Macaca fascicularis: one gene and its partners. The protein of the gene in region 1 purifies or fractionates together with the protein of each later gene. This does not show direct contact. Links are inferred from orthologs where the notes say so. Each region holds a gene or a part of one and is shown in the gene's direction. Other genes may lie near its edges. The genes, in order: FBXO10, ACSL4 and PDE6D.

Evidence for each region.
Region 2: the proteins of FBXO10 (region 1) and ACSL4 purify together in Homo sapiens (affinity purification with western blotting; 3 studies listed by BioGRID, with this or other methods). This does not show direct contact. The link is inferred for Macaca fascicularis from reciprocal best matches to the Homo sapiens genes FBXO10 and ACSL4.
Region 3: the proteins of FBXO10 (region 1) and PDE6D purify together in Homo sapiens (affinity purification with mass spectrometry; 3 studies listed by BioGRID and IntAct, with this or other methods). This does not show direct contact. The link is inferred for Macaca fascicularis from reciprocal best matches to the Homo sapiens genes FBXO10 and PDE6D.

Annotation. Positions count from the first base shown.
Region 1 is NC_088389.1:61,783,647-61,787,297, forward strand, and holds part of FBXO10 (F-box only protein 10), read left to right. Parts: intron 1-255; 5' UTR 256-261; coding exon 262-846; intron 847-3,651. UniProt on the Homo sapiens protein: Substrate-recognition component of the SCF (SKP1-CUL1-F-box protein)-type E3 ubiquitin ligase complex. Mediates the ubiquitination and degradation of BCL2, an antiapoptotic protein, thereby playing a role in apoptosis by controlling the stability of BCL2.
Region 2 is NC_088395.1:116,219,245-116,222,895, reverse strand, and holds part of ACSL4 (long-chain-fatty-acid--CoA ligase 4), read left to right. Parts: intron 1-727; coding exon 728-842; intron 843-2,812; coding exon 2,813-2,970; intron 2,971-3,651. UniProt on the Homo sapiens protein: Catalyzes the conversion of long-chain fatty acids to their active form acyl-CoA for both synthesis of cellular lipids, and degradation via beta-oxidation. Preferentially activates arachidonate and eicosapentaenoate as substrates.
Region 3 is NC_088386.1:127,707,073-127,710,823, reverse strand, and holds the start of PDE6D (retinal rod rhodopsin-sensitive cGMP 3',5'-cyclic phosphodiesterase subunit delta), read left to right. Parts: upstream 1-1,229; 5' UTR 1,230-1,394; coding exon 1,395-1,444; exon of another isoform or gene 1,445-2,328; coding exon of another isoform or gene 2,329-2,358; intron 2,359-3,751. UniProt on the Homo sapiens protein: Promotes the release of prenylated target proteins from cellular membranes. Modulates the activity of prenylated or palmitoylated Ras family members by regulating their subcellular location.

The DNA of each region.
Region 1 (3,651 bases):
AAACCCGGTCTCTACTAAAAATACAAAATTAGCCAGGTGTGGTAGTGCATGCCTGTAACCCCAGCTACTTGGGAGGCTGAGGCAGGAGAATCGCTTGAATCTGGGAGGTGGAGGTTGTGGTGAGGCCGAGATCGTGCCACTACACTCCAGCCTGGGCAACAAGAGTGAAACTCCATCTTAAAAAAAAAAAATTTAAAAGGGGGACTGGTAAGTAGGGTAGACAGAGATCTCTTTTGTTTTGTGTCTGTCTCCTAGGTGACCATGGAGGCTGGTGGCCTGCCCTTGGAGCTGTGGCGCATGATCTTAGCCTACTTGCACCTTCCCGACCTGGGCCGCTGCAGCCTGGTATGCAGGGCCTGGTATGAACTGATCCTCAGTCTCGACAGCACCCGCTGGCGGCAGCTATGTCTGGGTTGCACCGAGTGCCGCCATCCCAATTGGCCCAACCAGCCAGATGTGGAGCCTGAGTCTTGGAGAGAAGCCTTCAAGCAGCATTACCTTGCCTCCAAGACATGGACCAAGAATGCCTTGGACTTGGAGTCTTCCGTCTGCTTTTCTCTGTTCCGCCGGAGGAGGGAACGACGTACCCTGAGTGTTGGGCCAGGCCATGAGTTTGACAGCCTGGGCAGTGCCTTGGCCATGGCCAGCCTGTATGACCGAATTGTGCTCTTCCCAGGTGTGTACGAAGAGCAAGGTGAAATCATCCTGAAGGTGCCCGTGGAGATTGTAGGGCAGGGGAAGTTGGGTGAAGTGGCCCTGCTGGCCAGCATTGATCAGCACTGCTCAACCACACGCCTGTGCAACCTCGTCTTCATGCCAGCCTGGTTCTCACCCATCATGTATAAGGTGGGTGTCCACATCAATAGACGGCCTTTCTAGTCCTGACCCCAGGGGCTTGGCCTCTTTTCTGGGTTTTTAATCCCTTTTTTGGTTGGAATTGAAAGTTAGGAGTTATTATTATACTCCTACTCCTCTGAGTGCTGAACCAGTTGAGAAACAGGCACAGTGATCAGTAGAGCTCAGAATTCTGCTTTATTCCTGGTAAAGCTGTATTTAAAAATGGCTTGGGCTTGGAACCAAAATTCTTTTGCACCTCTTCCCTTTCCAACTGGACCAACTGGAGCCACCAGTGGAGCAGCTAGGCGGGAAAGCCGGGTTCTGGGAGCATGCCACTTAGTGACAGGAAGCAGAGAGCACATTAGCTGCTCATGGAGGCAAGCCCGAGCGAGAGCCACAGAGGAAAAAGGCTATACAGGACTAGTCACCTTCAGCACATGAACCCCACACCCTGTATGGGATCAAAGGAGGGCAGGCTTTTACCATGATTTGCTAATTCTCAAGGGCGATGGTGAGAAGGTCAGGAAATATTTGTCCAACACATTCCTTCTGTGAACGCAGAGCCAGAAGATGGTTCAAAGTAAAGCAGGTATCCAGGTGTTGGTAGTTCCTGGCAGAACAGTCTATAGCTTATACATTGCCTAGAAACTTGGATTATGTAGGCAGTCAATTACATCGCTTTCCTGCCTGCTCATAAAAAATAAAAGATTTTTGGCCGGGCGCAGTGGCTCACACCTGTAATCTCAGCACTTTGGGAGGCCAAGGCAGGTGGATCACCTGAGGTCAGGAGTTTGAGACCAACATGGTGAAACCCTGTCTCTACTAAAAATACAAAATTAGCAGGGCATGGTGGCAGCAGGAGAGTAACGCAGGAGAATCACTTGAACCCGGGAGGCGGAGGTTGCAGTGAGCTGAGATCCTGCCATCACGCTCCAGCCTGGGGAACAAGAGTGAGACTTCGTCTCAAAAAAAAAAACGGCCAGGCGCGGTAGCTCAAGCCTGTAATCCCAGCACTTTGGGAGGCCGAGATGGGTGGATCACGAGGTCAGGAGATGGAGACCATCCTGGCTAACACGGTGAAACCCGTCTCTACTAAAAATACAAAAAAACAATTAGCCTGGTGTGGTGGCGGGCGACTGTAGTCCCAGCTACTCTGGAGGTTGAGGCAGGAGAATGGTGTGAACCCGGGAGGCAGAGCTTGCAGTGAGCTGAGTCACTGGCCACTGCACTCCAGCCTGGGTGACAGAGCAAGACTCCGTCTCAAAAAAAAAAAAAAAAAACTATATATATGTATATATATATGTGTGTGTGTATATATATATAAAAGATTTTTTTAAGTATATTGTCATTATTACCAATAACAATTGTCTCTCATGTTTGTAATGATCCTTATACCACTGGTCATTTATAACAGACATATGTCATATGCATGCCATATGCCTTATAGCCATTATCTCATGGGTTCCTCTCCACATGTCTATGAGATAGGTAATGTCATCTGATTTTATAGATGAGGAAACGGAGGCTCAGCAAATTGTCATATCAAGGTCTCAGACTTAGTAAGATCCAAAGCCTATTCATAATCTAAGTGACTTTCCATCTGTCACCTCATTGGACCCCCACAGCAAACGTGTGTAGATGAAGTAGATGTGGTATCCCTATTTTGCAAATGAGGGCTACTGAAGCTCAGAGATGGTAAGTAACTTTCTCAAGTGGGTAATTAGGGAAGTTAGATCCCAAATTCAGGCCTTCTCATCTAAATGCTTATAAAATTACATCATGCTATGTTACCTAAAAGCTTAAAAGCCTATGTTTTAGCCCTAGAGTATTTCAGAAGAACTGATGAACTTCCCGGTGCTGCTCTGCAGGCCCAGAAGGAGAGTTTGTTTCTGGAAAGAAACAATGTTCCAGACCCTTCACATTTTGTAATGCATTTATTCTTAGAGTAATATTTTGATTTCAGCCTCTACTTCTCCCTCAGAAGTACAACCATAGATCCTCAAGGGATGAGGCCTGGCATTAGACTTGTTCGTAGCCTGCCCTCTGGCTTAGTGCTTAGCATATAACATACGTTAGTTAGTATTCAGTCCGTGATTGTTTTTCAACTAAAGCAGGCACGGGGGCCTGGGATGGTCTTGCCTGAAAAATGCAAAGGCCAAGGCGATTTCACAGCAGTTTTCAGTGACTTCCAAGGAGAACCTTAGCAGTGGCTCTGCATCTCCAGAGAGCTGGCTTTTATCTTTAGAGAGAAAATGGATTTAAATAGCAAGGAAAAATTAGGTTAGCCATAAGGAAGAACTTAGAGAAGTTAAGGGGGCTTAAATTCTGGGACAATCTATCAAAGATCACTGCTAGAGAATTTTAAAAATTGTTCAAGGGGTAAGTACGTCTGGATTATTAAATAGAATCATGAGATAGTCCCTCATTTGATGGTTCAAATACATCTGATGAAATACGTGTGAAATCCAGAAACAGGTCTTTTTCAGGAATAGAGAGTGAATGGGCCTCAGTAAGACTGCTTCTCAGTCGGGCCCAGAGAGCCAAGGGGGCCAAATGAATTAGGCAGGAGAGTTCAGCACTGCCCCATCTCCACCCCAGACTCTTGAGGACACTCTGCTCCTTGTGTCCCTGACCCCAGATGATAATAACTGACTTTGACTGAGTGCCAAGTTTGTGCCTAGCATGGTGCTTTGTGAACTAGTGAGCCCCATGCTGCAGACAAGGAAACTGAGGCTTAAAGAGGTGAAGTCATTTGTCCAAGATAACACTTGCAGTCAACCCCCAGAGCCCATGCTTTTTTTTTTTTTTTTTTGA
Region 2 (3,651 bases), on another chromosome or scaffold:
TTCAGTTGAGAAACAATAAGCTTATTTTCCCCTTGTTCCTTAATTGCACTGGAATCAAAGGTTATTTCTGTAGACTGGGTTCCCAGGCTATGGGTAGGCAAATCAGCACTCATACGAAGGTTCCAAGGCCATGTGATGATTATTCAAGCTGTGCCATCCTGTACTAGCACTTTCTTAGAGAACTGTCATTTTAACAAGATAATGTCAAAAGTGGAAAAGGAGAATTAACATGTGTTAAATGTGTTCTATATGCCAGACATTGTGGGATATATCTGTATGAGGTAGGCATCATTATTCTGATAAAACTTGAGGATTAGGAGGTTAACTGACATGCCCAGGATCACTTAGCTAGTATCAGGCAGAGTTACCATTAAAATCGAATGTTCCAAAGTCCTAGTTCCTTCTATTAAATTGATTATAATATTTAAGATTATAATAAGATGCTAAAGCTTTGGGTATAAGGTGTAACTTTTAGCCAATACTTATTTAACTAGGCATTTTCTTTTTAACTGGTGTGTATGGGCAAGCATTATATATATGCAGTTTTTGCCATTTTAAAAGTAATGGCAAAAACCACAATTACTTTTGCACCAACCTAGTAATAATTTTAGAAGAAGTAGTTTTGTAAATAACAATTAAGGCAATGATATTCAAAGAAGACAGTCAGAATTGCATATACCTTAGTAAAACAAACTATGGCTGACTTAACATTCTTTATGACTTACAGATCGTAAGAAAGATCTAGTGAAGTTACAAGCAGGAGAATATGTATCTCTTGGGAAAGTAGAAGCTGCACTGAAGAATTGTCCACTTATTGACAACATCTGTGCTTTTGCCAAAAGGTAACTTTCCAAAGTTGTATTTTTTGTTTCATAAGTCAAAAGATATTTAGAAAATAATGTGATTGCGTATTATCATAAGGGTAACATAGACTCCTCTTAGAATTTTCATCAGATCTGGGGAATTGTACATTTATGAAAGTTATTGAATCAACAGCTCGAAGATCATTTGAGATAACTCAGACATGTTAACTATGTTTTTGGACACCTGCATCTTGCTAAATACTTAGCTATGCGACAAGTTATTTCGTTTAACATCCGTGACAACTGAGACTTAGCATAAGTAATTTTGCCAAAAAAAGTAACACAACTACTACATGTTGAGATGGATTTTGAACCCAAGTTTTTCTAAATCAAAAGCCTGAGACTGAGCCATTTTCTTTATATGTTGATATGTCTTATTTTTATGGATTTTATTCTTTTTTAAAAATTGTAATTGTGGTAAAAAGCATATAGCATAAGATTTACCATCTTAACAGTTTCTAAATGTACAGTTCAGTAGTGTTGTGTATATTTACATTGGCGTGCAGCCAATCTCCAGACCTTTTTTTCTTGTAAAATGGAAACTCTATACCCATTAAACAACAACTCCCATTCCTCCTCCCTCCTTCCCCTGGGAACCACCATTCTACTTTCTGTTTCTATGAATATGACTTCTCTAGAAATCTCACATAAGTAGAATGATACAGTGATTGGCTTAATTCCCTTAGTATAATGTCCTCAAGGATTATCCATATTATAGTACATGTCAGAATTTCCTTCATTTTAAAGGCTTAACAATATTCCATTGTATCCATTAATGTATTTTGTTTATATATTCATTGTCAGTGCACATTTTGGTTGCTACCCCCTCTTGGCTGTTGTGAGTAATGCTTCTAGGAAAATGGGTATGCAAATATCTCTTTGAGATCCTGCTTTCAATTATGTGGATAGATACCTAGATGTGGAATTGCTGGATCATATGACAGTTCTATTTTTAATTTTTTAAGGAAGAGCAATACTGTTTTCCATAGCAACAGCACCATTTTTACATTCCTGCAACAGTACACAAACATTCTAGTTCCTCCACTTCTTCATTAGCACTTGTTTGTTTTATATAGTAGTCATCCTCATGGATGTGAGGGGATATTTTGTTTTGGTTTTGATTTGCATTTTCCTAATGATTAGTGCCACTGAGCACCTTTTCCTGTGATTGTTGGCCATTCATATATTATCTCTGGAGAAATGTCTATTCAAGTTCTTTGTTCATTATTTAATTGAGCTGTTTGTTTTTTTGTTATTGAATTATGGAAATTATATATTCTGTTTATTAACCCCTTATCAGATATATGATTTGCAAATCTTTTTTTCTATTCCATAGATTGTCTTTTTACTCTGCTGATTGAGTCTTTTGATACACACAAGTTTTTAATTTTGATGCAGTCCCAGTTATCTGTTTTTGCTTTTGTTGCCTTTGCTTTTGGTGTCACATCCAAGAAATATTGCCAAATCTATTCTCATAAAGTGTTTCTTGTGTTTTTTTTTTCCTAGCAGTTTTATAGTTTTATTAGATTGGTGCAAAATAATTTCAGTTTTTGCCATTAAATGTCAATTACTTTTTCACCAACTTAATAGCTCTTCAATGTTTAGATTTTTGATCCATTTTGAGCTAATTTTTGTATATGTTGTAAGGTAAAGGTTCACCTTCATTCATTGCATGTGGATATCCAGTTTTCCCAGTACCATTTGTTGACGAGACTGTCCTTTCCTCATTGAGTGGTCTTAACACCCTTGTCGAAGATCATTTCTCCATAGATACAAGGGTTTACTTCTATTTTCTCTATTCCATTGGTCTGTATGTCTGTCTTTATCCTGGTACTATGGGTTTTATTGTTTCCTAATGAAACTTTATCTGTACTGTACTGTTTCATTGACTAATTTATGAATAACTTTTCTCAATGCTTTCATTTCTATTTTATTTTCTATTTTTTTAGTGACCAGTCCTATGTGATCAGTTTTGTGGTTCCTAATCAGAAAAGGTTGACACTCTTGGCACAACAGAAAGGGGTAGAAGGAACTTGGGTTGATATCTGCAATAATCCTGCTATGGAAGCTGAAATACTGAAAGAAATTCGAGAAGCTGCAAATGCCAGTAAGTAAGAAATTGCTAGACTGGTGTAGTCCCTAAAAGTCATCTAATGATGTCTTTTGCATTAGGCTCTTCAAGATGTTCGCTTTAATAATAAAATACAGGATTTTAAGAAACCTGTTTCTTAAATATGTATAATGGATTTCCATGTTGGAAGGATCCTTCAGTGTCGTATGGTAAAATAACCCATCTAGTTCTTTATTGCATGTTTCAACATCTTTCCCAAAGTGGTCATCTAGCCTGTGTTTGGAATGGTCCATCTTTGGGTAGATCTGTTATATAAATCTACTTTGTGTCTGCAAAGCAGAAATTAATAACTCTAAGTTTAGTAAATAGTGTTATAACCATGATTATGCTTTGTGTGTATACTTTGGCTCTGTAAATGGACTGTCTCAGATGGTACGTTAATAACCAATTGGAGAAAATCTGCTTATATAGTATATGCCAGGAATTGTGTTACACACTAGGAATACAGAAAGTAGTAAGACTCATTTCTTGCTCTCATGTAGTTCATTATCAGGTGAGAGCGGCACATGAGAGAGACAACAATCTTAACAGCAATAGAGAGATGAACGGAGAATCATGGTACCACAGATGGGGGTGCCTAACCTACTTGGGAGGACATGAAAGAGATGTCACTTAAGCTTATTCTTAAGGGTTAATTAGAAGTTAACTAGGTTGGGC
Region 3 (3,751 bases), on another chromosome or scaffold:
AGGGGACAGGCAGAGGAAGGAAGGCCAAGAGAAGGACAGAGGAGGTTTCCAAGGAAACCGTGGCTCACACTGCAATTTTACCTACTTCCTGAAATCACATTAAATGTCACCTTGAGTGGCAAAAAACAAAACACCAAGTCCTACCTAGGCTGAAAAAAAATATCACACTCCCTCACTTGAAAGAAATCCACCAAATAAATGCTACCTAATTCTGGGTGTTTCAACACTGGATAGGAAAACTGTTCAAGGAGAATAATTCACATTGCTATGCTGCTAAAAATATCACCTCCTTAGTGTGGTGCAAAGAGTCCAGACTGCAAGTCAGCCGACTTAGGGCTGAATTCTAACTCTGCCCGAATTTGCTGTGATCTGTGGCCAATCCCTTCGCCTCTCTGGGCCTCAATTTCCTCATACGTAACAACGGGGTAGATTAGCAAAGTCCCTTTATGTTTTGATATTCTGAGTATACAATCCATAGCTCTCCCGGTCCAAAGCAGGAATACAGCAAAACCCCCTGAAAAACACGTAAAAGGCGCCTCAGACCAACAAGCACGATTTGAAGAAGTCATTTTGTTATCTTTCACGGTTTAATCAGTGTTTTTGTTTGTTGTTAGCAGCCTTACCATGATTTGCAGAAGATGTCTGAGTTCCATGTAAACAGAAGTTAACTCTCTGCGGGCTGTCATCTTCTTTTGACGGTGAGAAGGGTCTTCCCGCTGGGTTTCAAGTCTCGGGATTCCGAAACCACCAACTCAGCGGGCGGGTTTGTGAATTTGCGCACACTGCGCGGCACACTGGAGTCTAAGTTACAGAGGAACCGAGTGCAGAGGATGCTGGGATTTGTAGTCTCCGGACCTCTTTGTGGTGCGCTGGGATCTGTAGTCCCCCGAGTGCGCCGCTGGAATGCTGGGAAATGTAGTCTCTGTCGCGTAGCACAGTGCAACCAGCTGCCGTCTCGAATGGCTAGTGTGCTCAGCTGCGGGAGCAGGTCCCTAAAGCCTCTGCAGATCCGAAGCCAACACTCCGCTGGGACAAACTCTAGGCAATAACACCAGATGAATATTGTGTCCTATGGGACTTCCCGGGGAGGGCCCTTCCCATTGACGTTAACAGTCCCCCTGCGAAGGCGCAGCGCGCTCCTACTGGCTGGTTGGGATGCCAATCGCCAAAGCTGGCTTTCCATTGGTTCCAGGGGGGCACTGCGAGGCTAGGGGGAAGGAGAAGGGATCAGGAGCGGGAGCTGAGGGGAGAGAGAGGCCGGTCCTGGTCTGGCCGCTGCGGCTGCTCGCCCGAGGTCTCCAAGCCGGGCTGCGGCTCCATCCTCGGCTCCTGGGCACCGTCTGCGAGGCTCCGCCGACCAGAGTGAGAAAGCCGCGGGCGGCGAGCGCCGCATCATGTCAGCCAAGGACGAGCGGGCCAGGGAGATCCTGAGGGGCTTCAAACTGTATCCGCCCGGGAGCGGGGCGGGGCCGGGAGGACTTGGGAGGCGGCCGCTCACTGAGGAGACTGGCTGGGGGCGGGGGCCGCGCCAGGTGGGCCCCGCGGAAGAAGGGCTGCGGGAGAGGAGAGGAAAGGAAAAGCGTGCCGTGCACCCGGCGGGACCAGGCGCGAGAAGCGCCCCCAGGGGCGTCCTGAGGGAGGAAGGGGACGTTGACGGGAGCCCCAGGGGGTGGCGGGTGGGGACGGAAGAGCTTGGGGTACTGGGCTGCGAGAGGTGCCGGGCGTCGCAAACGCTGTCGGAGAGACCGGCTGGGTTCCAATCCCCGGCCGGGACCCAGAGGCCGGGAGGGGGCTGCGGCCCGCAGGGAAGGGCTGAGGGGGCGCGGTGGGCTGATCTTAAAGTCTAGAAGCCTCTTTGGCTATAAGCCTACCCGAGGAGCGGGGAACAGTGACTTGGAGCGGGCGACCTTGTGTGGGACAAATACCAGTGCTTTTAAAACTCTCTCAGGGCCCCCACCGCACCGCACCCCACCCCCGTCTGGTTTCCACAACTTCTCTTCCAAACTTGTGGCTTCTTCCAGGGCTAGAGTAGTTGGGGGAGGTGGGGAAAGAGAAGTCCAAGATCAACCTCGTCTTAACACTCTTGGTCTTCTGAGGCATTGGTCACTGCTTCCCCCTCAGCGCCTCAGTTTCCTTTCCAGCAACACGAGGACCATAGGCTTAGGTGTGGGGTGCCTCGCGCTGGGGCTCCTAGCCGAGGTGTCTTTGCTCGCTCCTGTTGGTGCGGTTAATGCCTAGCTGTGGTGGAGCTGTCCAGCAATAGTGTGATGTCGCCGGGGCCACGGTAGGATAGTGGGGTAGAGAAATCATTGCCTCGGGCCTGTTGTGATGCCGCTCTTGCAACCTCTCCTTAATGTGGTAAGGAAGCTTTGTGTTTTCGTGGAGTGTGTTAGTCTGTCACCATATGATGCAGATGAAAAAATGCAAACTTGTATATTCAAATTTTCCATTCTCCTGCCGGCTTTAATCTCTGCATACATCCTGTCTGTAATCTATAGTACGGAACGTTCTTAAATTGCTCCCTCAGTGAAAAGGTAGTCACCGCTTTAGGACTCCTCCCTTGGAGGTTTAGTAAAGCACTGTTTTCTTGATATTCTGTTGTGTTTTCACAATGTCCATGTCACCCTTGCAAAATTTAATTGCTTTGCTATAATCAGAAACCAAGTTGGTAATACATTTTAGACCACAGTGCAAAAAGGAAGTTTTGGATGTACAAGTGAGATTTTTCAAGTGAAAATTGATCTAGGCTTTTAAAAAAACCTAAAGGCTGTATCACCTTTGCATACTACCATTCAGGATAAAGTTTCAGTACTTTCATGTAGTGATTTAGTAGCAGCCTCTTTAGAGCTCCATGTGCCTTTCTGTGTTTCTCTCCATAATGGATCATATAGGTATATAGGGATGACTGAAGTGCTGGAAAAGCTATTACATGAATTTTATTTTTCCCTCAAGTAATTTGTATTATTACTTAACATATAACAATGTAATAATATTGTTACTTAACATGCTGTGTAAGCAGTAAACCAGAAACTATGGAGAACTGAGAGATTTCAGAAGCAACGTTTTCATCTGATTGGAAATACCATATTGCTGAAAAGAAGAAATACCTTTTTAATGGCTTTTGAACAAAGCAGAAAAGTTTGAGCTTCTCACCTTCAGTCTTGGCTCTTGAACCTGTTAAGAAAGAGGATAAGAGACAAATACGGAAAAGAGTTTCAGAAAGCAGAATCTGTGTCAGCCCACTAGAAGGAAAAGCGAATCAACCAATTCAGTGATGTTAGTGCATCCAGAAACAGGCTTTCGGGGAAAGCTTGACCTGAGCTGATTAAATCCTGAAGCACCAGGGAAGCAGCCACATCAAAAAGTTAGCATGAGAGCAGTGGCGTGCTCATCCTCTGGTAGCCTTTATTGGGCATTTGTGGAGTAAGAGGGAAAAGAAAAGCAGGAATGTTAAGATATGCTACTACCTTCAGGAAAAAGTAAAATTAATGTTTTAGTAAGAAACTGACTATTGTCTACCTTTTATTGGGTAAATAGATTTTCCGAACTTTCTTTCAGAGTATCTGTTTCTGTAAGAATAGTTTATCACTACAAAAAGAGCACCATTATGTTCTCCCACCAACAGTGTTGATAGTACTCAGTTTTCCACGTTGACTAGGTCGGTCTTTTTTGTTTGCCAGTTTAGATAACAAATGATATATTGTTTTAATTGGTATTCTCCTGGGATCCCTACATCCATGAAAAGGTAATG